3 separate regions of the Mus musculus genome follow, and regions 2 and 3 are each reported to be linked to region 1. The links are microRNA targets in miRTarBase. Many come from high-throughput screens and were not tested one by one. Region 1 holds a microRNA gene; each other region holds the end of a gene's coding sequence.

Region 1 (7,879 bases):
GCTCCAAAAGTTCATCTACCCTACTCTGTATGTGTGTGTCTGTGTGTGTGTGTTATATGTGTGAGATACATGTGTGTGTGTGTGTTACCACAAAAAAATTACTAAAAATAAAAAGATCCAGTATAGGACATATTCTTCTCTGAGTACCTTAGCTGATAACATTTTCCCTGGCAAATCAGCAAGACTAGACAGATTGTGACATTCTATGCCTCCCTTATACCTCAAAATATTATCCTGAAGAAAAGTCTAATTATATTCTCCTGGAATGTCCTTAGGTTTAGGCTATACCACAGAGAAATGGTGATATGCCACATAGTGAATGGGACCTGGACTTACGATTTGTCTGAACTAAATATAGTGCTTAAGGTTGGTCGAGATTTTTACCTAAGGTCAAAAGAGTTGATTGCAATAGCAATTCCTAACATTATATTTTATTATTTATTGAGACGGGGTCCAATATAGCCCAAGCTGACCCCAGAGGTGATAAGTAATTGGGAACAGCCCTGAGCTCATGATCCTCCTAAGTCCATCTCTCAAGTCCTGAGATCAAAGGCTGCACCAGTGTCCATGTATGTGGTACTTGGGAATCAAACCTAGGCTTTTCATGTAGATAGATGATAGATAGATAGATAGATAGATAGATAGATAGATAGATAGATAGATAGATAGATAGGTGTGTATGTGTGCACACATGTATGTATATATGTAATATACATATATATGTATATATGGCTATACATATATATGTATATATGGCTATATATATATAGCCAGATGTGGTGGTATATGGCTATAATTCCAGAATTTGGGAGACTGAAGTGTAAGGTCATGAGTTCAAGGCCAGCCTAGGTTATATAGGGCAACCTTGGCTACCTATACTAAATATATTCTTGGTAATACCTTTATTCAGATGGTATCTTTAAAGGATAGAAACAGAACTTATAGATAAGTTATTTACTTAAATTGGAATGGGGTTATGTAGGCACTCATGCACACATGCACAGTTGCATATATTCTCCCTAATGGGTCAATAATATGGCATGAAGTAGAACACTAGAATCTTAATAGATTTACTGAGGACTTACTGAGTTCAATGCACTATGAAGAGAAAAGGTATTATTACAGTCTTTCTTTTGGCTGAAATAAAATCCAAGATTGAAACTGTGTAATTCACAGACTTTCCTCATGAAACCAGCTCATCTGAGAAAACAGCAAAGTTTAAAAAAGAAATACTATCAGTAAGTATGATATATTTCCTTGGTTTGGAAATTTCCAAGCCACGATATTCTGCCCTGTCAAAATATATTCACTGGGGAATTTTTAACTTGATGCATTTCTTTTGAACTTAATCACATTTCTACATCTAGCTGGTTTCATTATTAAAGAAAAGAAAAGGTGGTTCCCCTCTGGTCCTAAAGGGAACCACAGACTTGAGTGATGCTTGAACTTCTAGGTTCGCGTACAGTAACACTGAAACCAGAAACTTGTGGGAGAAATGTCACTTTATCTGAGAGAGTAAAATCCAACTCTAACAGGAAACAGCAAATTCATCTTTTTTCTTTTTCTAAACCACTCTGCTGGAGACAAGTCCCTTGAGTCAGAGCTCTTTAAGGCGCACTTCCTTTACATGGGTCAAACTGAAGCCACCGGTTTGTGAGTCCCCAAAGGAATCACTGGAGGACAACAGGAGCATTTTCAGATACCTTTCAGGGCAGACCTGCCCTGGCTGTACCCCCTATCTTGAAGAAAAAGAAAAACGAATAAGGTGAAAATCGCAACTACTATTTATAGAATCAAAATGGGTTCATCCATTGAGTTTTAACTTTCAAAAATCATAAAGTACCATCCTAAATATCTGAGATTTCTTGAATTGCCTAGTGACCTGTGGGATGTACGTCAGAATATTACCCAGAACTGAAGTTGTGTCCTTTGAACTTCAGCATTGTAGAACTATGAACCGTGGCTGTGTTAAAAATGATACATGTATTCAAATATTTCCACAGAATTTAAAGTTTGATTTTATAATTAGTTTTTAAATTGCAAACCTTACAAAAATTTTCCAAAATTTACTTAGAAGCATTTCAGAGCTCTTTTCTTTCAAAGCTGAAGTCTACCTTGCCTTCAGATTCATAATCGTTCACTCTACTTTATAACTAACTGTGTGCGTACACACAACTATTTCTTTTTCTCTTTGCAGGTGCTGCAAACCAGGAAGGGGAAGTGTGTGGTTTAAGTTGCATATCCCTTATCCTCTGGCTGCTGGAGGCTTGCTGAAGGCTGTATGCTGTTAATGCTAATTGTGATAGGGGTTTTGGCCTCTGACTGACTCCTACCTGTTAGCATTAACAGGACACAAGGCCTGTTACTAGCACTCACATGGAACAAATGGCCACCGTGGGAGGATGACAAGTCCAAGAGTCACCCTGCTGGATGAACGTAGATGTCAGACTCTATCATTTAATGTGCTAGTCATAACCTGGTTACTAGGATAGTCCACTGTAAGTGTTACGATAAATGTCATTTAAAAGATAGATCAGCAGTATCCTAAACAACATCTCAACTTCAAGCCCACATGTTTATTTTTTATCTTGAATGGAAAGTGAAACTTGTATCATTTTTATTTCAAAATTATGTTCATAACCATCTTCAATGATTCAACCAGAATACAAAATGAATGCACTAAAAAGGACATTTCTATATTTCTGTAGTTAAAATTCAGGACGGCCATTCTCGACTGACATCTAGGATTGTCTGGAATACCTCTTGTAAGACTTGGAATTGGCATTTTTTCCACATTACAATGTATTAGTCAACTTTGATTTAAAATTTGTAACTCTTGTGTTTTAGTGTAAGGAAAAATTTAGGGTTAGTGTTAGAGTTTAGGGCTAGGTAAGGAAAAACTGAGTCAACACTGAATGATTTTTTTAAAATCTATGAGCCAGCTGTTGGTAGTTTACTCCTTTAATCCCAGCACTCGGGAGGCAGAGACAGGCAGATGGCTGAGTCGAAGGCCAACCTGGTCTACAGAGTGAGCTCCAGGACAGCCTTAGCTACACAGAAAAATGCCTTATCAAAAAATTAAGAAAATAAGATGAAGTATTAAAAAGTGACATGACAAATCATTCCTGAGGGCTACCTATATATTCCTCACACGGTATAAATATTTAATTTAATTAATATTTAATTTCAAATATTCACATTTGAAATGAAACCCAAATCTGGGTTCAAGCTTACTGCTTTAGCTGCACAGTAAAGCTGTGTAGTAAGGAGACCCACGTTTCCTACGCATTTCTTCATGAATGCGGATGAAACTTTACAAGGTTGGTGTGCAGCTCACTGGAGATGAACAACTCTTTGTAAGGTAATAAAATCCCACAGTGATGTCTTAAAGCCAATCCAAAACTCACCCCGTTGCCTGACATAGGTAATAATTTGATATACAGAAGTTTAATGTTTGAATTCCTATGCAATTTTTCTCCACAGTGATATCACTGACGAACACATAGACAGCTGGACTTGTTATATTTAATTTATACCTGTTCTTTTTTTTTTTTTTTAAAGACTTTTTATTTATGTATATATATGTATATATATATTTATGTATATATGTAAGTACACTGTAGCTGTCTTCAGACACACCAGAAGAGGGAGTCAGATCTTGTTACGGATGGTTGTGAGCCACCATGTGGTTGCTGGGATTTGAACTCTGGACCTTCGGAAGAGCAGTCGGGTGCTCTTACCCACTGAGCCATCTCACCAGCCCTAATTTATACCTGTTCTGATAGTTCTCCTGAATATCTTGTCATTGTCTTCCCTATAGCCAAATAAATGTCTTTGAGTCTTTAGTTGGCTTAGAATACTTTTTGTTTGTGATGACCCTTTCTTTTGCAAAGTACAGACTGTGATTTCAGAAGACACACAAAAAAGACAACAATGGAATAAGTCACAAGGACAGTGAGAGGAATGCCCCTGCCTGCCATGACACAGACAGGGCACGCCACCCCCACTGCCCCACTGCCTTCTGCCGAGTACGCTGCCGACATAAATTCCTCCTCTCAACCCTTGGATGGAGCTTCAGGAGTCCTTGTACCGAGTCTCAATTCTTCAAAATCCTTTTTGCTGCCTACAACCACAAAGTCACAGAAAGCTAGGAACCCGCTGCGTTCTCTACATTACCCTCCAGCAGTTCCAATCAAAAGCTCTGAAATCATAAAGCACTGTAACACCTACTGCATGCTTAGGCAAATCACTTGCTCCATGTCTGTTTCTCCATCAGTGTGTGTATCTCTGTGATGTAATTTTATTAAGGCTTAGATGAAATACCACAAGAGGGAACACACTTTCTACCAGCATTTAAGTGATGAATACATACAAACCTTGAAACATGTATAAGTCCATAATCTAAATCGACGCAGCAGGCGTCCCTGGAACACGCCACCTCCTCAGCTATCATCCCACCCTAACCACCCACACAACCCAGACGTGGCCAGCAGGCTGGGTCTTCCCGGATGCCCAACTCTACTAGCTGACCTCTTGGCATCACAGATGGATTATTCCTGACCAACATTTCCAGTCATTCCAAAAATTCTTGGAGTATGAGTTAAGGCTGGGTGTGTTTGGAGTGGAGAGTAAGTAATGAGGAAGTTTGTGTGTGTGTGTGTGTGTGTGTGTGTGTGTGTGTGTGTGTGTGTGTGAGTAAAGGAAGGGCAGCCCAATTTCGTGCACAGAAGACTAAAGGGAATGAAGCACTGAATTACATAGGATGACCTGGGCACAGACCAGCCCCTGAAGCCATTGGCTGAGAGTTAGAAAACAAGTTTTTCCTGGTCTTCATGTGGGACTTCTAACAGTGAGAGCAGGGGCTGCCTCTGACTGTTGCCTGCCTGTGGGACCCTTTCAGGCTGCCTAATGGGCTGCCTTGTCTAGCCTCAACGAGAGAAGATGTGCCTAGCCTTAACTGCAACTTTTTATGCTAGGGCTGGTTGATATCCATGGGAGGCCTCCCCTTTTCTGAAGAGAAACAGAGTGGATGAGGTGGGAGAAAGGACTGGGAGGAGAGGAAGTTCTAGTCGGGATGTATAAGTAATTAGAAAAAGATTTTTTGTAAAGAAACTAACTAGGAAATAATTAGAAAAGGAAACCCAGCTTTTCTTGCTCGCTCTCATCAGCTAAATAAACCTAGTAGCAGAGGTAGGACAGGAGAGAAAGCTGGGACAGACTGAGGCACACATAGAAACTGTGGCATAACAGTCATTTCCTGAGAATAAATGGTCAGGGCATGAAAGAATGGGGAAACTTGAAGTAAAATACAAGTGGGAAAAACACGCGAACGAAGGAAATTAAATAAATACAGCTCAAAATTCCTAAGTGAGCAGACCCACTAAGGACCAAGAGACCGGCACAGCTACAGAATGTCAGAATCCCGTAACAACAAAAGCAAGGTCCCACAAGTGTCCAGCACAGAGCTTCAGGTTAAAATCAGACAAGAACCAGGCTGTCAGTCTTGTCAGCATTGTCACTTGCCAGAAGCCAACTGGGCTCTTTCTGAGTCCTGATAGGAAACTGTTTTCAAAATAGAATTCCGTATCTAGTCAAACAGCTGCTCAAAGCCAGCACAGCTAAAAGCCGGTGTAGGCACCCAGTTCACCTTGCCTTACGGATTTTCCCCTAGGAAGGCAGTGGGGAACAGCTCTAGGGAATGAGAGCCGGGCCTAGTGAATTTCGGTATATGATATTTTTATTTACAACATTTTCATAATAATGTTTATTACATATGTGTATATATATACACACACACACATATATATATACATATATATATACATACATATATATATACACACACACACACACACACATATATATATATATATATATAATCTAAAAAGAGAAAACTAGTTTTGGAGGCTAGCATCTGGTAGCATCTAACAGAACTCCGCTACCAGAATGCAAACTTATCCAGGTATCCCTGCGGGCGGCAGCACCTGTGAGAGTAGAGCAGCCTTGGTAAGATCACCTGCACTCTCTATGGTGATGAAACAGAAACACTGTCTTAACAAGTGGGAATTAAATAAGATGCTCACACCCTAATTCTAGGACTTGGAAGGCAGAGGCAGGAGGGCTGCATAGCCAGTTCCAGACCAGGTTTAACTACACACTGAGACGCTGGCTCAAATAAAACAACAGAGAAGCTCCGGGGAGGGAGGGGCCTAGGGGTGCTTAACACACTGGCACATAGTAGCGACACAGTTAACAGCATCGCCCATCTGCAAACACATTATTTCGAACATGGATGTTTACTAGAGCACTCTTTAAACAGCCCAAACTGGCGCACACACAGTGTATTTTCCCATGTGTCTATCCATGGGGAGGAGGCGCATGGACCTCCTTAAAGTCTGTATCTGCAGAGCAGGGACAAACACACATTGTATTAAAAGCTTTTATTTTAATTTACTCTACAAGTTTAAATTTTAGAACACTACTGGGTGGATTCGGTGTTCTCTGTCTGTCTGACTTCATCTTCAGTTACCTGTGAAGACAGCAACAGTTTTACTCCTCCGGCTCTTTCAGCCCACCCTGTGCACAGTTCAACCCCCACTCCCCCTCCTGTGAAGACCTGTCCCACTTCCTTCAGGAATTATCACAGAGTTTAACAACAACAAAACAAGTTCCGATATAAACCACCAAGTGTGGCCATTAAAAACTATATAACAGAAGGCATATTAACGTAGGCTTCCTAAGTTTCTCACCTTATTCTTATCTATAAAACAAAAGCATTACTATGAGAAAATTAGCAGGAGGGAAACACAGGGTATTCTTCATCAATGTGTCTTACTGCGGGCCCATGTCTATCTGGAAGAGACTGTTACAGACCCAGTGCAAAGGGTACCAGTAAGTTCCATGTTCCTAACCCATGGACACAAGTGGCCTGAAAAAGTAGGCAACTTGAAAATAAATGTCATGTGCGTAATCTGTTTGTCTGTAAGCCTTATTTTCAAGTTCAAAAGGTGACTGGAAATTAGACTAAGTAGGAAGAGCTGGTGAGGTAGGTTCACAGGGCAGCTATCAGACAACGAGAGTGAAAGAAGTCAAAAAAATTAACAACTTACATGGGCAGCTCAAACACTAAAGCCATGTTTGAATCTCAGTTCCAGGACATTCACATATTTAACAGTCATGGCAACTTTAAAGCTCAGAAGCCTTCATTTTTCAAATGCTCATTAAGTTTATAAAATTATTTTTTTTTCCATTTTTTATTAGGTATTTCGCTCATTTACATTTGCAATGCTATACCAAAAGTCCCCCATAGCCACCCACCCCCTCTCCCCTACCCACCCACTCCCCTTTTATGGCCCTGGCGTTCCCCTGTACTGGGGCATATAAAGTTTGCGTGTCCAATGGGCCTCTCTTTCCAGTGATGGCCGACTAGGCCATCTTTTGATGCATATGCAGCTAGAGTCAAGAGCTCCGGGGTACTGGTTAGTTCATAATGTTGTTCCACCTATAGGGTTGCAGATCCCTTTAGCTTCTTTGGTACTTTCTCTAGCTCCTTCATTGGAGGCCATGTGATCCATCCAATAGCCGACTGTGAGCATCCACTTCTATGTTTGCTAGGCCCAGGCATACTCTGACAAGAGACAGCTATATCAGGGTCCTTTCAGCATAATCTTGCTAGTGTATGCAATGGTGTCAGCATTTGGAAGCTGATTATGGGATGGATCCCCGGATATGCTAGTGTCTACATGGTCCATCCTTTTATCTCAGCTCCAAACTTTGTCTCTGTAACTCCTTCCAAGGGTGTTTTGTTCCCACTTCTAAGGAGGGGCATAGTGTTCACACTTCAGTCTTCATTTTTCTTGAGTTTCATGTGTTTAGGAAA
Region 2 (7,879 bases), not on the chromosome of region 1:
TTTCTGTTACCACTTCTTTTTTCTAAGCGTGTTCCGGAAAATTTCAAACTGCATTCATTTTATAAACGTCTTAGTAGCACAATAGAATTTTGTGTAGTTTTGGAAATTATTTGGGGGAAAAAAAACCTACCAGATTTAAGCATAGCACAAACACAGACACACACACACAAAAACTTTCAGGTCCATTAATGACAAGTCATAATAGAGTGGATTAATTGTCTGAATCCAAAACAGAGCACAATACAAGGTTGGTGGCATGGCATGACAGAGTAGCTGATGTTACTGTCATGACACTCATACCTGCCTTCTCCCCTTTCTTGTTTTATATGACACAAGGTTTCACTATGTAGCCCTGGATGGCCTGTAACTCACAGAGATCCACTTGCCACTGCCTTTGAATGCTGATATTAAAGGCATGCATTACCATGCCTGGCTGAAGCTTAAATTTTAATACTTGACCTTTTAGGTATACAAACTGAAAGAAAAAGATTAGACTTTATTTTTATTAAATACAAGTATTATATCGATGTATATACTGTCTTAGGTATTTTAATTATTAGCAATTGCAATAAAAAAAGTTTGACATGCAGTATATTAGGTACTTGTCTTACACGTGTGACTTCTGATGCTCCCAGTATTCTTGAGGGTCCTATTTTAAGCCTTGTCTGTGTGTGGTCTTCCCTCATCCCTTCATCACCCTTCACCTCTCTTCAGTGGAGTGTGTTTCTGTTTCCAACTATTGAACTCCTCTTTCCTGTTCTCGTGTTCTGTGCTAGTAGCAGTGGACATTGTGGCTCATGTCTGCCTTTAGTTGTTAGGCCTGTGCAGTGCTTGCCGCTCTGTGGTACCGCCGAGAGCCAGGCTCCCTGTCTGTGGCAGCTGAGGTCTTGGATCTTGAATGTCCTACTTGCTCTGTACTCTCTAGTGAAGAAAGGGGGGTTGTTTGTTTGTTTGTTCTTTTATTTTATTGTCTGTATGCTTGTCTGTTGACCAGGTTGTATACCTGGTACTTGAGGAAAGCAGAAGGAAACCCCTCCCCCAAACTGGAGTTTAAAAACAAACAAACAAACAGTTATAAACTGCCATGTGGGCTCTTGGGTTTGAACCCATGTTCTCTAGAAGAGCATTCAGTGCTCTTATCCAGTGAGTTCTCTCTCCAGCCCCAGGAATAGAGTTTAAAGAACTAGGATTTGCCTCATTGCAGAGCCCGCTGACCATTGAGTTACCTCTCTTTGATGCCTCAGGACAGGAATCCTTAGCCTAAGCTAAGGATGATGTCCTCCTGCCATGTCTAGGAATGTTGGTGCTGCCCTCTATCTGCAGATGTACTTGGTGCTCTGGGGAGCACTTTGGTTGTACATCTGCTCAGCCACACCCACCAGTCCTGCTGCTCAGTTCCTCTATGTGACATTCTTGATATGTTTCTTCCCTAGTCCAAAGAATCCTCATCGGTGCTTAGCTGTGACATCTCTGTGGATGACAAGTACATTGTCACTGGCTCTGGGGACAAGAAAGCTACGGTTTATGAAGTTATTTATTAAGGACAAATCTTCGTGCAAACTGGACTCCTCCTCATAGCACTTTGCGCTGTTGTACTTTTCTGTTCACCCCTCTCCCATTCTAAAACCAAGGATTTCCAATACTCATTGCAGTTGTGGAGTTTAATCCCTTCCCATAGCCCCACTTCCTCCTTGCTATTGAATTGTGAATACTCATTAAGAACCTGTGATACCAAATCTTCAGCTATCGTCTTGGAAGAACATGGAATACCTAACAGTGAATGGAATCTTTAATTATGTATTATATCTGTAATATATTTATTTTGTTTAAAGAAGGCTTTCTAACAATGACTGACTAAATAAAGCTGTCCGCTCCTGCATTGATAATGAAGGTGCATTGTATTTGATGCTCCACCCCTCCCTTTTGGTGAGGGAGGGGAAAGGAAGGTTTAAAATAACTGATTTAAATGTCACTAAATGTAGACTATTGACTGTATAGAGATGTGAAATGTATAATTACACACGGAAGCAATATGTTGCTGTGTTGTTATGAGGTTGTTTTGTTTTATTTTCTACTTATATTAAAAACATTTGGAAATTTGGCTGTTTGAACAAGTAGAATATAACAGGCCAAGTACTATTCCTTTGAGTCTATTTGGGCAACTTTAACCAATATGTCTATAACTTTAGATTACATTCAACAAAAATAATTAGATGTTTTTCTTTTTTATTTTTTACTTGTTGACAAGTATCTTTGTAATATTTTTTAATTCCTTTTTTTATTGTATTATAGACAGATCAAAAATTAAATTGGGCCTCAAAGAGAGAACTTAATTTCTTCTAAATATTTTTGCCAAATTTCCTGGCAGAGGAAGCTGTGTGTCTCTGGGCAGTTGTGATGCTGTGAGACATGGCAGGCTGTTTTGTGTCATGCTCTTTAGGAGCTGTAGGTACAGGAGGACTGCTTGCCTACCGCTGTGCAAAGCAAGTCTTTCCCACACAAAGGCCAGCAGAGGAGGGTTTGCAGAGCCCACCCTCTGAAAGCCACAAAGAAGAGCCTCTCCCGGGATGGTGGCTTGCTTTATTTACCTCTGGTTCTTTCCATGTCTTAGTTGGATGTCCCTGAAATGGACACAGGCTGTGCCATTGTGCCAGAAACATTGTGTTATCTTTTATGTTGTTGTTGTTGTTGCTGTTAAAACTATAACATGTGACTCCTTTTTTATTATTATTTTTTGTTTGAATGCTTTAAAAAGATCTTTTAAGTCTGTGGATCTGCTGATGTACAGTGCCTTTGCTGCTATGGATCAAAATCAAGAACTGTGTAGATAAACTTTATTGTATAAGTAGAAAAATCACTTAATTTCATACTAGAAATGGATGGATGCTGCAAGCTGAAATGGACTGTCATTGACGTTCTTTGTGTGGTAGCAAAAAAAATGGTGTCTTAAGTGCTTAGTGTTTGATGTCATTAACAGTTTCATAAAACTCTACAGTGTAGAAAGATTTTGATACTAAACTGTGCATTGTACATAGTTCTAACGCATTGTGTTGGCCACCAGTACTTCTATGATGGTAGATTGTTTGTGCATTCAGACTTTTAAGCATTAAACATAAATAACTTCTAGAATGATTATTTTCTAATTATTTTTGCTAATTGCTTTGTCTATGCCACTCCCTATATTAAAATCACTAGTTATATTCAAGTCAGATTGTTAAGTACTATGGGTTTTGAACTGTTTCTTTTTTTTTTTTTTTTTTTTTAATTTTTCTTTTGAGATAACCCAGAAAGCATGAAAGAAGTTATGGAAGGCAGGTGGTTGCCAAGTATTTACTGAGCCTCTCATTTTGTTGACAGTCTTTCATCTAGAAGCAGTCCAAAACTCTCAAACTTGAACCATTTAGATTTTTACTGTCATTCTGGTAAACTAGCCACTTAAAGCTACTTAAACTTAACTCTTGGAACTAATTAATATTAGAAACCTTTTTTTGCCAGTAATACAGACTAAATTTCAAGTGCTCAATAGCTCCACAGGAGCTAACAGCTATTGTACTGGACCTCACAGATTTTGGTAATGTTTCCCACACTGTTGTGAATGCTCTGGAGCTAACACAGCATTCAGAATTTGACAGATTGGACCATTGCCAAGTGTGGGGGTTTGAGGACTTTTCAAAAAAAACACACAAGTTTCTGGAAGCATCCTGGGTTAGATTTTTTTTTTTTTTAAGACTAGGGCAAAGAAGAACTTGAATCCTAATTTGTGGGACAGGATTTGGGATCGTCATGGTAATCTGCAGTGATCAGCCATAGGAGACCCAGCTAGGTACTAAGTGAGTGAATTCCAGCGTTATTCACCCATGTAGACCAAATCAGCAAGTCCAGTGAGATGCCATAAGCTGGCTGCATTGCAGGATGGTATGCAAATCCACTGAAGCTGCTGAGAAATAAGAGATCATTTCTTAAGATAGTAAGTGACTATCCATAGAGATCAACTCGAGGTGGGGAGACACTCTTTGTTGGGCGTGGAAGGAATAATGGATATAGAGAGGGCCTTGAACTTCTGTTAGTTACTCGTCGGCATGGTTCTGACAACATAGAAAGTCAGAAGGAAAAAACACGTTTGCACATCAGAAAACACAACTTATATGTCTGGTAGGGTTACCCAGAGAGGCACAGAGAATTGGCTTTATAAACTGACTCTGTGGCAGTTGTTGTCGATAGATAATGCTGAGAGCTTATCCATTCCCCAGTACTGGGCTTATAAGAGTATATTTTTCTTATCTCTGTGACAGAACACCTGGTGGAAACAATTTAAGGGAGGATAGTTGGGTTGGGGGGCAGAGGGGCAGGCGAATTGTTCGGTTGCTTTTTTGCTCACTGTTACAGAGCTATTTCAGTCCAGCAGAAAAGGCATGGTAACAGTATTGGCTCCATTTGTGATTGCAGGCAGAGGCTTTAATCACATGGTGCTGACTGGGAAGCACAGTTCACAGACTGGAACCAGGGGCAGTAAAACCTCCAGAGACCCCCACCCCTAGTGACCTCTAGTGACTACTGCTAGGCCTCTTAAAAGCTCCACTGCCTCCCCCAAATAATACTACTAGCTGGGGAATAAGGTCTAGAATCAAGAGGCATACCTGTATAAGTTGGAGGCCTGTCTTAATGTACACAGAAGTTTTGCCATAATTATTGAACTATAAAGGTAATTTTAAGGGTCTGGGACTATGCCTCTGGTGTGGCAAGTGCTGATGATCTGATACCTCTGAAAAGAAGGAAAATAAGTAATTACTGAAAGTCAGTTGCTGCTTTCACCATAAATTATGCTCTTTGTATAGTTCTTGCAGAGTCCGAAGAACAAAGAAGAGGCATCTCTCTCCAAAGCAAGAGAAAATTTAGAATGGGAGAACAGAGTTGAGTAAACAAACTATAGAAAAAGGAAAAGGCAGGTCAAAGCAGCCATTGGACCTTCCTAGACAGGCGGTTCTGCTGCAAAGTGGCAGACCTCCAGATTTCAAAGCTGCATACCTCTCTGAGCTGATACTTAGCAAAATGGCTTCATTGGGGTCTACCTGGAATATTGTATGTGCCTGCAACACTTAGAAGTGCTGGGAATTAAACACTAGGTTCAAACTACATCACACAATCACAAAATTCCTGCCAACCGAGAACAAAAGATGGCATTCTGGACAGATATGCCAACCCGGCGAGCAGCCTGAACATGAGCCAGGAGGATTGGTTGTTTTTTGGGTGCCTCAGTGGACCTTCATGGCCTGGTGCTGTACTGAAAACGGACTAGGATATTTGTGGATTTATTTCTGGTAATAGTAAGAAACTTAGCCCCGAGATTCATTGTCCAACCTTGAATAAGCAATTACAAAAATCAGTTTTAAAAAAGGTGCTAATTCAGCTATATTCCAGAGAGATCTAGCGTTTCAGTGGTGACCTGGATCTTGCCAGTGCTCGGGTTCTGGGGACATTTGTCATAGAGCAGTAGCAACTGCTGTCTCTCTTCTTTTGAGCTAATTCCATTTATTCACTTTGGGGTGCTGACACATTATACATTGGCAATGGAAATGGTTTATTTTCAGTCGCTTGAATACAGCACAAAGGGTTTTATGAGAGTGTTCAAACACTATTGAGCTAAGGGCAGAGAGAACTCTGCCTTGTTAAGCTGTAGTGGCTGTTTCCTTTTGATGGGGTGTTTGACAAGAGGTGTAATGGGTGGTAGAATTTTGAACCTCCATGTTAGAAGTTTGCAGGATAGCTGGGCTTCTAAGCTACAGACTTCTCAGCTGGGACTTTCATAGTTGCCTGCAGATAATTCCCATAGGACTGACCTTAGTCTAGAGTACTATGAGCACAGGGGCCCTGTTTGATCTCACAGTAGGCCCAGCAAGGAGAGAGGGGCGGTCATAGTTCTGTTTATATAGAAAGGAAAAGGTCACAAGGGAAATGCTATTTATCAAAACTCTGGTGGGAATTTGAGGGGCTAGCAGACTCGAAACTGGTCCAGAATCACCCTGTGTACAGCAGAACTGGACCAGAAATGGGAAGGGGCATTCACAGTGCTTCCACCTAATTGTGCAGTGCTCCATTTCATCCAGGTCATACAACTTGAAAACTCCTCTGTTCCATCGCAGATTGTCTTTATAGTTCCTGTGCTGTGACCCCCTCCATAGGCTAAATGTTCTGGTACCTCCTAGGAAACTCTTGGTTGTGAGTTGAACTAGGATTGATTATTTTTCCTCTTGGGAGGCCTTGAAGTTCTAGAAGGACTCAGTAGGAATTCGTCATGAGAGACCTGTGATAAACAGACCTACCTTATCATAGGCTGCTAGAAAATGGACCAGAAGAGATGCCCTCAAGAAGCAAGGAACAATGGGAGATGCCCAAACTAGTGTCCTGCAAGCAGACCATTGTCCCAGACTTTATAACTTCCCATTACTTGAAGAACTGCAAATACTTCAATCCCGGTAGAGTTTAGCTTAATAAGGAGAAGCCAGGTACAGCTGTGACTAAAGTACAGCTCCTCCCCCCAAAACAAAGCTTTGGAGATTCATTGAAATCAGCCGTTCAAGCTTATTGTTAAATACCCATCACATGTTAGTAGTTCTTCATGCTTTCTCTAAGCAGTCATGTTAATGAAATCTGATTTCCACTTTTATGGCAGGATCAGGAAAATTAGTTATGGTTCCCACAGTGATAGTCAATTCCTCTCTCCATGACAATTTCTGGGCACCATGGTTTGTAGAACAAGAACATTCCTCTGATTGCAGGAAGTCTGAGGTACTTGCTGGAACAGGACCTTGGTTCGCTGCCTGTAGTGTAAGCAATGTTCTTTGATAGCATTTGCATAATTCCACAGTGAGTGTTAGTGGGGGCTTAGGTGATCAGGAATGAATGGACTTTGCTGCAGCCCCCAGAGCGTGGGATCCCATGTCAGGCCACCTTAACTTGAACGTGGAGTGTGAAGAGTTCGAAGTGCCCTGCTGAGCTCAGCAGATAGTGATTTTTGTGCAGCCCCAGCTTTAAGTGGGAGCTCGTAACCCTACTCCACATGGGCTACTTGGGACTTCATACCATTTCTACCTCACTGCACGTCACGTTTTTGTTGTTTGAATGCAACATCCCCACCACACCCCTAGGATCTTCAAAAACATGAGGTCCGCAGGACCTTGTTATTTGTATCATATTACATCACATTAGATGTGTAAAACTTGGAAGTTCATGACCCAATCACCGACCTGCCGGGGAAATGAGATAAGGTGAATGGGTTGCTTCAGCTTCTGGGGTTTTCTTTAATGTTTTGAAGTCTTGTGTTAGATGTGAGTGTGGTGTTGTACCTTTCACCTCAGGCTTCTACATTTCCATATAACTGGCATTTACTTCTCGAAGAACCAAAATGTAAACTTGGACCGAAAACAAAAAAATCCAACTGTACTGAACTGTCTCTGGCCTTTAATTTCCTTTAAAAGACATTAGAAATGTCCCCCTTGGCAGAAAATCAAACAAGGAGGTCTCTGATTCTGTGCTCTGTGCCTGTGTTGTCACTGTTTTCAGTACTGAGAAGCACTAAGTTACCACGACACCCACCACCTGAGGATGCTTTGCTTCCCGCTTTCCTGTCTCTGTCTCTGTTTCAATCCCTCTTCCTGAAGGAAGAGGGTCTCAAACTGCTTTTAAATCTTTAGGCCCACAAGTATTTAGGGGCACAGAATGCTTTAGGTCTTTTGAAGAGATGTGATCCAGGCACGATGGCACAACACCTGTAATCAGCACGTAGAGGTCAAGGTGGGAAGCGCAGAAGTCCAATCCCATGTCAGTTAACATGAGCTTTGAGGCCAGGCAGGGCTACATGAGAGGAAGACAGGATGCAGCA
Region 3 (7,879 bases), not on the chromosome of region 1:
GTCTTAAGTATTGCTTACCCTGCAAAGGGTGGATTCTCATATCACCTCAGGGTTAATGTTAGTGAATCAGAGAGTGGATATTTTACAACATAATATGGAACAGATGATGGATGTCATACAAATGAGTTGTGTGGCATCCACATCGCATGTGTGCATTACTCCCAATAGGTATATTAATAATTCTTTTATTAAAAGTACAGACCTAACAAATTACCTGAAGGGGAACTGGTTGCAGAAGCTGGAAAGGTTGCAGACGAGGCTGCAGATACAGATCCTGAACCTTATTAATGGGACCAGAGTGGAACCAGTTACCTCTTGGCTCACCTCTGTTTTTTCTTACTTTAAGGAATGGGTGGGAGTGATTTTGTTTGGTGCTGCCATATGCTGTGGACTGGTGTTCATGCTCTGGTTGGTATGCAAATTCAGAACCCAACAAAAAACGTGACAAGGTGATTATAACTCAGGCACTTTTAGCTATTGAAAACGGCTCCTCCCCTGAAATTTGGTTATCTATGCTCAAGAATTAGTTGGCATCTGAGTTCTCTGCTCTTGCACTCCACGGCACTGAGATGAGAGAGACTCAACGATCATTGATCAGCCCTTGCACATCACTGAGGTTTCCTCATTGCAAGCGATAGGGTGATCATGATTTCCCCACTAATTCATTTTTTGGCTGGCCTCTTTTGCAAAGTTCTCCCTAGGTCATTTAGCAGTTACTGTCACACAGCACTGTGGTATCCAGAGACAGGCAACTTTCCTCATGCACAGTCCAACCTAAGACACAGGGCCCGGTGGCGATAGGGTTACCCTATGACGGGTAAGGCTGTGAAACAGAGGAACGACCTAAAACAGGAGCCACGGCGGATGGACATAATTGCACAGGCCTAGTCCAGCCTCATTTTATTAAAACAAAAAGGGGGAGATGTGGGAAGCCACATGTGCCGTTGCAGAGTGGCACTGACTACTGCTGGCCACCATGCATAAGTTTGGACAACCAACCAATGTGTACATATGCAGTAAAGCTTTTTGCAAAGACACTGCCTGGCCTGGGCATGATAATGAGGCTTTGAGAGTATAACCAATCCGATGTGAGACATGCAAATGAGGTATGATAATGAGGCTCTGTGAGGTACAGAGAGAGTAGCCAATCAAATGAGGAACATGCAAATGAGGCTTAGTGCATAACCAATCCAGGTGTGAGACACGCCTCTCCTAGGCCTATATAGGCAGCACCAGTTCTGGGCTCGGGGTCTCTGCAATCAAGCTCTCCCAATAAATGTGTGCAGAAGGATCCTGTTGCAGCGTCGTTACTGCTGGCCAGTCTGGCGCGCGCAAGAAGCTGACAAACAAGATCGTGAGTTATCTCCAATTCCTGGCTCTAAGTGTATGAAGCTCACCTAGTGCTCCAGATGAGCACCAAGAAAACCACAGTGCTTTGAGATATTATTTCATGAAATATTCATTAAAATTTTAGTACAGTGGTTTGAGTATTTTTAACATTTTGTGTGTATGTCTGCCTCCACCTGTGCCTATGTATATGCCTGATGCCTAGACACCAGAAGAGGAAACTAGCATTACAGATGGCTATAAACCACCAGGTGGGTGCTGGCATTTGAACCCAGGTCCTCTGGAAGAAGAGCTAGTGCTCTTAACCACTGAGCTATGTCTCCTGCTATGTGAATACTTGCATCTGGAGACCCTTTAAAAATAAAACCTATCACTGTCCTATTCAAGTATGAAAATATTAGGCATACTCCTCACCTGGGTGTTAACGACATTTCTGGTAAACACAGTATAGCGTGTGAGCAAGATATGAACACAGTCCAAACCCCTGCAACCAGCTTGCTCAAGGTGGGAAAACAGACTTCAGCAACTGCCACAGCGAGTTTCTCAGCTGGCTCTTTTCTTGTGGTGCGCTAGTCTAGCCAAGGCGGCAGAAGGCTGGCCTATCTGCTCAGGCGAGTGTGTGTAGACTCCTGAGCATCAAACCACTTCCATGGTGGTCGTTGTCTTAACACTACCTCAGCAAGCCCAGAGCTCTTCTACTTAAAGACGTTTCTAGGTCCAAATCCTTCACCGTAATGATTTGAAATTGAAGAGTAAGCATGGCACACTAAATTTGGGAGAATGCCAAGGAAGTACAAGTGGGACCTCTTTTCGTGGTACAAGACCATGCCCATTTATAGACTCAAAAACCCCCATTTACTAGAAACCACACCTGTCAACATCAGCACATGATTCATACCAAGGCCCAATGAGACACATTAAATTTTCAAATAATGTCAACACCACCACAAGTTTAAGAATTTTAAGTACATTTTATTAACAATGAATCCCTTTGATAAGATTATGCTTCAGGAGGCTTTAATGCCCTTAACATAAACTGTACACATTGTACAAAAACAATACAACCACAATAACAACAACAAAAAAATCAAAGTGAGCAAAACCATTTTGGGACAAATCTTATTTAAATTATACACAACTCAATGAAATATTCTTAAGGAAAATATATAAATACTTTTTCTTTCTATGTTACAGTTATACAATATAAATCAGATTTCAATGTCTGTTCAGTGACCTACAAACACCAGAACCTCCAAAAATGTAGCAGCGTATTACTAAAAAAAAAAAAAAAAAGGTCATGTGGTCAGAGAGCATTAAATCTGAGATCCTCTTTATAATCCCTTACCACTTTTCAAAGCTAATTTAATTTACATCATTTGTTTTACAATGCATCATTAGGGTTTTTGACAGGCTAGTAATGGAACATTTTTCAACAATCATACATTAAAAGATTTTACCACTCCCGCTCTGCCCCAAGACTTTGCATCTTGTGCTAGATCAACCTAGTTGGGGAAATTGTAAGATATGTTTCCTTTTTTTTTGGCATAAATTAATTTTTCATACTAAGTATTATAGAGTCAAAATGTGCAATCCATGCATCTGCGGCAGTTATCCACCTAACTATAAAAATACTCAAAGGGGCGGAATCCCACACTCTTGTGAGTTGTATAAATGTACTGTAATGAACCCCCGGGGACCTGAAATGACAACGGCTCTTGTAAAGACTAGTGCAGACTCCTGTGTCTTCCTCAGCAGTGACCTCAGGGTCACTGGCAGGCTGAGGTGAGACTCAGTGTAGAGACACTCTCCAAGCTAAGAGACGTTGGAACAACAGGCTTTGTCAGTATGGAGGAAATGGAGACCTTCCCAACTCACACTCGGGAAAATCTGAAATGTTTATTGCAAGCAGCTCTTCTTAGAAGTCTCCTAAACAATTTTACTTTTCTTTCATGAACTGTGAATTTGGGACAAAATGGAAGTACAAGAAGAGGGGGAAAAACTTTACTTCCAAACTATATTTCCAAAGAGGTCACATGTTCTTCTCACACAAAATTAGCACCTCTTATCACAGGAGAATAACCACAATTATAATTTGAATGACAATTTTGTTTATTGCTTAATGGTCTGTGCTTTGAGTGGGGCACCAGGGGCATCAGCTGAAGGGGCTGAGAGTGCATGGAAACAGCAGTGGGCAGTTTACACACACACTAGCAGCCCCTACGCACATCTGGTCTCAGTGATGGAACCCAGCTTCAACTGTCTCAAGCTCTGGACAAGAGCCGAAAGCTCCTGAGGACACGGCTCCTGGTGACTTGGATACATCACCACAGCAACAGTGCACACACTTCCTAAGAGCCTTGCACTGCTGCTGTCTTGTGGGATGTCTCTACACTTACTCTTTATTAGAAACACTTAGGTCAGGGGACACTGTCTTCCTCCATTATACTCTAAGCAGAAACAGAAAAGCATAAGACATTTTAGAGCCTATTTTCTTATAAATACTAAATTTCTCACTTTTTTATTTGTCAGTACTTAGTATGTGAAGCTGAAATCTGTTCTTGAAAAAATTTCAATTAGAAATGACAATTTACAATTAGAAATTCACAGTTTACAACCAGCTTAACTGTTCAAACTCCTCCAAATTATTAAATAATTATCAATAGTACAAATTTATATGACTAAGATTAATTCTAAACTCTTGAAAAACTACGGTATTGACATTTTGGTAATATCTAATATTTATAGACAATTTTTCAATGATTGCTATTACCATTGACATCATTCATAACCTTTTCTGCTATAATTTAATAGTCTTAAACACCTATGCTAATCACTTGGCACTGCATGTCGTTTTCGTCATAAAAGTCTACTTTTATACATGTACTTAAAAAGAAATGTATTACACCTGTTGGTGAAACCATGGTTAAACCAAATAGCACTATAAATTTAAGCATAGACAATTTCCCCCAGTATACTGATCATCACAAAGCTCTGATATCTTCCCAAAGTAAGTGCTATAGGCAGATATGATCACACACACACACACACACACACACACACACACACCTTTCAAAGTAACAGTCAAAGTGAAAACACAATCCTTGGCTTAGGACACTAGGGCACAGCCTCAGGTTCATGATGGCTGACTTGGGCGCGAGAATGGGCATAGTTTTGTGTGAAGAAAAACAAACAAGAATAGTTATCATTAACTCTCAAGGGACGAAACCACAGATTTTCTACTCTGTTAACTGAGGTAGTGTTTAAAATGAATGTCTAAAATGTTAATCCCATTTATGAATAAGACTACATTACTTCCTTTGGAATTGTAACCATTATTTGGTCTAGTATCTCTGACATTTGGTTCTCTGGAAAGGCAGTTTTATTGTCCAAGACCAAAGACCAAGGTGATAGGCATGCTCTTTCAAGCACTGCTGACATTTAATGAACACGGGTTCAGTGATGAAGTTGAAAAGAAAGTTTTACCCTCACTGAATTTTCTGGGAAAATGCGAACTGTGCTGTAATGTGAGCAGCAGCTTAGAGCCCTTGTCTGCTTTGTTATCATGGAAGTTGCTATACAGTGCACAGAAGAACAACTCGCTCAAGTGCAGTCAAAGAGGAGTCAGGAGGGACAGGAAATGCTTCGTCTCAGTGCCAACTTTCAGTGCCAGCAAGTTCAAAGACAAATTTCTGTGAGTTATGTTTTCTAGTTCACAGGGTACTTTACAGCAGTCTTGCAAACAAGACCATTATGAGAAGGGTGTACGACATGGGAAAATATGGACCAATGTCTATGACATGTTAAAGCTGATGTGCAATTGTAAAATGGGTTACACAAAGGAATTGCAAAGGTCCTAGTCAGTCCTAGTCAGCTGGATGGTTTGTTCCAAGATAACCCTTTCACGCGTAAGCAGTCTAGTAATGATGTTCATGCTACTTTATGTACAAATTTGCATATATGTTTAATTCCTGTGAAGATTTCCAAGTCTCTTTATACATAAACAAATTAGACAGACAAAGTCTCGCCTTCATCAACTTCACAAATGTGATAAAGGCAATGACTATACTTTTAACTCACCTATAACTGCAATTTATGCAAAACAGGAACACTAACAAAAATTAAATTATCGCTGCTTTAAAATTTAGTAATTAAGGCTTTTCACCACAATTCTGAATCTTAATAACGAGTCTCAATGACGTTTTAATAGGACATATGGCTCTTCCTTTTTCCCATGGAATGTGTAAACTGCAGGCAAAGCTGTCTTTTCCTTGAGAGACTGCAGCCTCACTTCATGCTTCCTTTGCTTTGTCCAGACTGCTCATCTGGCTCAGTCCCTTGTAAGTGGTGAGAGGAGTGGAGGAGGTTGGGTACAATGTGCTCTGAACACGAGAAGTATTTACTCCTTACTACATCACAACCATAGTGAAAAACCTTAATTAGTAGAAATAGCCTTTAACAACGTATTGCAACAACCTGAAGCGACAGAGGACAAGTAAGCATCCTTATGCATCTAGCATCGTAAACTAACTTCCAAGTTCCGAGTGCTGAGGTGTTCCTTCTGCTGTGAAGTTATAAACCTCTGAAGTAGTGTTACAGACATTAAGAAGTGTGGAAAGGCGAGTGTGTTCCTCTGATACCAGCAGTTACAGCCCACGGGGTAACAGGATGCAGTCTCGGAGTCAGTGACTCCTGCTTTCCACAAATTAGTTAACAAACAAGGCATCTTTTGTATTTACCCTTGATTAAAAAGCATTCAGAAAACAACGGTGTGAAGGATGCGTCTTCATGTCCTGTTTTGTTCCACTGCCATTGCGCTTTGAAAATAAAAAAATAGAAAACCTATGTAGATATTCAGTGCTTGGCTCTTGCATATGATGGTAACTGAATTAAAACCATGGTAATGAACCACGAACCCCGAGAAGGGCCCAACGCGGGAGAGAAGTTGGCTTGGCTAGGAATGCCAGCAGTCCCAGCTGTTCTGTACCAATAACTGCTGGCCAGTGTCAGAAGGCTCTCCTGCCTCACTGTCAGCCAGTCAGTATCCTGTGGGGCTTTCAGGAAGTCCACAGTAGGAATACATATAGAGTATCCAGCTATAAACGTCATAAGCATGAGGTCAGGATTCAGCAGACTCATCAACTATAGGCTGAATTGGTGGAATTGCCAACACAGCCTCTGCTTCTTCATGCATCTAGGAAGAAGTAATAAACTGTTAATTTTTTAAAAAATAAAATTGGTATGTAATATAGACATAAACTTTCAACTTCAAATACAGAATAATTCTGGGAGACAAATTTCAGAACTACAGTCTTCCTTACTTGTAAAAACTGTACATCCTGAAATAACTCTTGTATGAACCGCCGACACTGAAGTCTAAATGTGCAGTGTGACAACAGATGAGAAACTTCAGAATAAAGGCATATGTCATCAAATGTTTGAGGATACTTCTCTTTAATGCTAAAATTAAAAGAGAGAACACGCCGTGATAAAATAGCACACGATATATTCACTCCACCCCAGCAAATGACACTGCTGCTAAGTTTCCCTCACCCCGGATACTGACTAGATGGAGTGTTAGCAACAGTGCCTTACTAGTATAAGGCAGTCAGTCAGTCAGCCAGCCAGTCAGTCTGTCTGTCTGTCTTTTCCTCCAGCCTTGACCAATGCCCCCATGCCTCACGCACTCCAGGCCCTCCTGCCTCCATCTTCCAGTGCCAGGATGACATGTGGATGCCACCATAGCTGGCTTACTGGGAAGCATTTCTAGTTTACACTTTAGACAGTTCAAGTGTCTGATTTTGAAAGAGTATCAAGATCTGAGTGCTTATTGTAAAGTTATTTTCCAGTAACACCAGGAAATTATGAATTGTATTTATTAGACTAGCACGACTACATAACATGCTCACACTGTAAGGCATTTAAGTTATTAGTTATCTCTGGCTGACTATCTTTCCATGAGGACAGCACGTCAGGAGCAGCCATGTGGGTGGGAGGCTGGGCTGACAGCCTCACTCTTGCAGCTCTGGACCACACGGCCAACACACATACAGAGCACACATATACGTCTTTAGACAACCACTGCTTGCACAACCCTGAGCTGTGCAAATAAAGATGATTTTCTCACAATTGTCATTCATCAGGCTCTGACTGAGAAACCCAGGTTAAGCAGGAACTCGCAGCAGCCTCGGCTGCCTTTCAAGCTTGTGCTCTTTAGGTCTCCTCAACTTTCTTGAGACGTGGTTGAGAGCCGGGCAGTGGTGGCGCACAACCTTTGATCCCAGCACTTGGGAGGCAGAGGCAGAAGGATTTCTGAGTTCGAGGCCAGCCTGGTCTACAGTGAGTTCCAGGACAGCCAGGGCTATACAGAGAAACCCTGTCTCAAAAAAAAGAAAAGTCATTGAGAAATCTAAAAAGCTTTTTTTTTTTTTTTTTTTTTGTATGTTGAGTTATAGCCACCAACAATTATTTCAGAAACTGGTATTTAGAAAATTTAAAAACATTTTATAGGTTAAAAAGTAAGTTATTTAATTAA

The links. The annotated mature microRNA mmu-miR-155-5p reads UUAAUGCUAAUUGUGAUAGGGGU and lies in region 1 at 2,288-2,310, shown strand. An mRNA with a match to its seed (bases 2 to 7 or 8) in the 3' UTR can be bound and repressed. Matches are read on the target gene's strand: a 7mer-m8 pairs with bases 2 to 8, a 7mer-A1 pairs with bases 2 to 7 and ends in A, and an 8mer does both.
Region 2: the mRNA of Tle4 is a reported target of mmu-miR-155-5p. Seed matches in the 3' UTR shown: 8mer at 3,103-3,110.
Region 3: miRTarBase lists Rictor as a target of mmu-miR-155-5p. Seed matches in the 3' UTR shown: 7mer-A1 at 2,365-2,371.

What each region holds. Positions count from the first base shown.
Region 1 is chr16:84,711,856-84,719,734 of GRCm38, forward strand. Mir155 (microRNA 155) reads left to right here and starts at 2,285; the gene lies at 2,285-2,349. Mrpl39 (mitochondrial ribosomal protein L39) reads right to left here. Exons shown (of 10, transcript NM_017404.5): 10 at 6,426-6,529. The coding sequence ends at 6,479. It overlaps Mir155hg (Mir155 host gene (non-protein coding)), which reads left to right and starts at 1,168. Exons shown (of 2, transcript NR_132106.1): 1 at 1,168-1,238; 2 at 2,198-3,390.
Region 2 is chr19:14,443,396-14,451,274 of GRCm38, reverse strand. Tle4 (transducin-like enhancer of split 4) reads left to right here. Exons shown (of 20, transcript NM_011600.3): 20 at 1,434-3,203. The coding sequence ends at 1,541. Among named protein-coding and RNA genes, the nearest start is that of Gm8630, 11 kb to the right of the region's middle.
Region 3 is chr15:6,794,821-6,802,699 of GRCm38, reverse strand. Rictor (RPTOR independent companion of MTOR, complex 2) reads right to left here. Exons shown (of 38, transcript NM_030168.3): 37 at 6,666-6,804; 38 at 2,299-6,538. The coding sequence ends at 6,464. Among named protein-coding and RNA genes, the nearest start is that of Osmr, 76 kb to the left of the region's middle.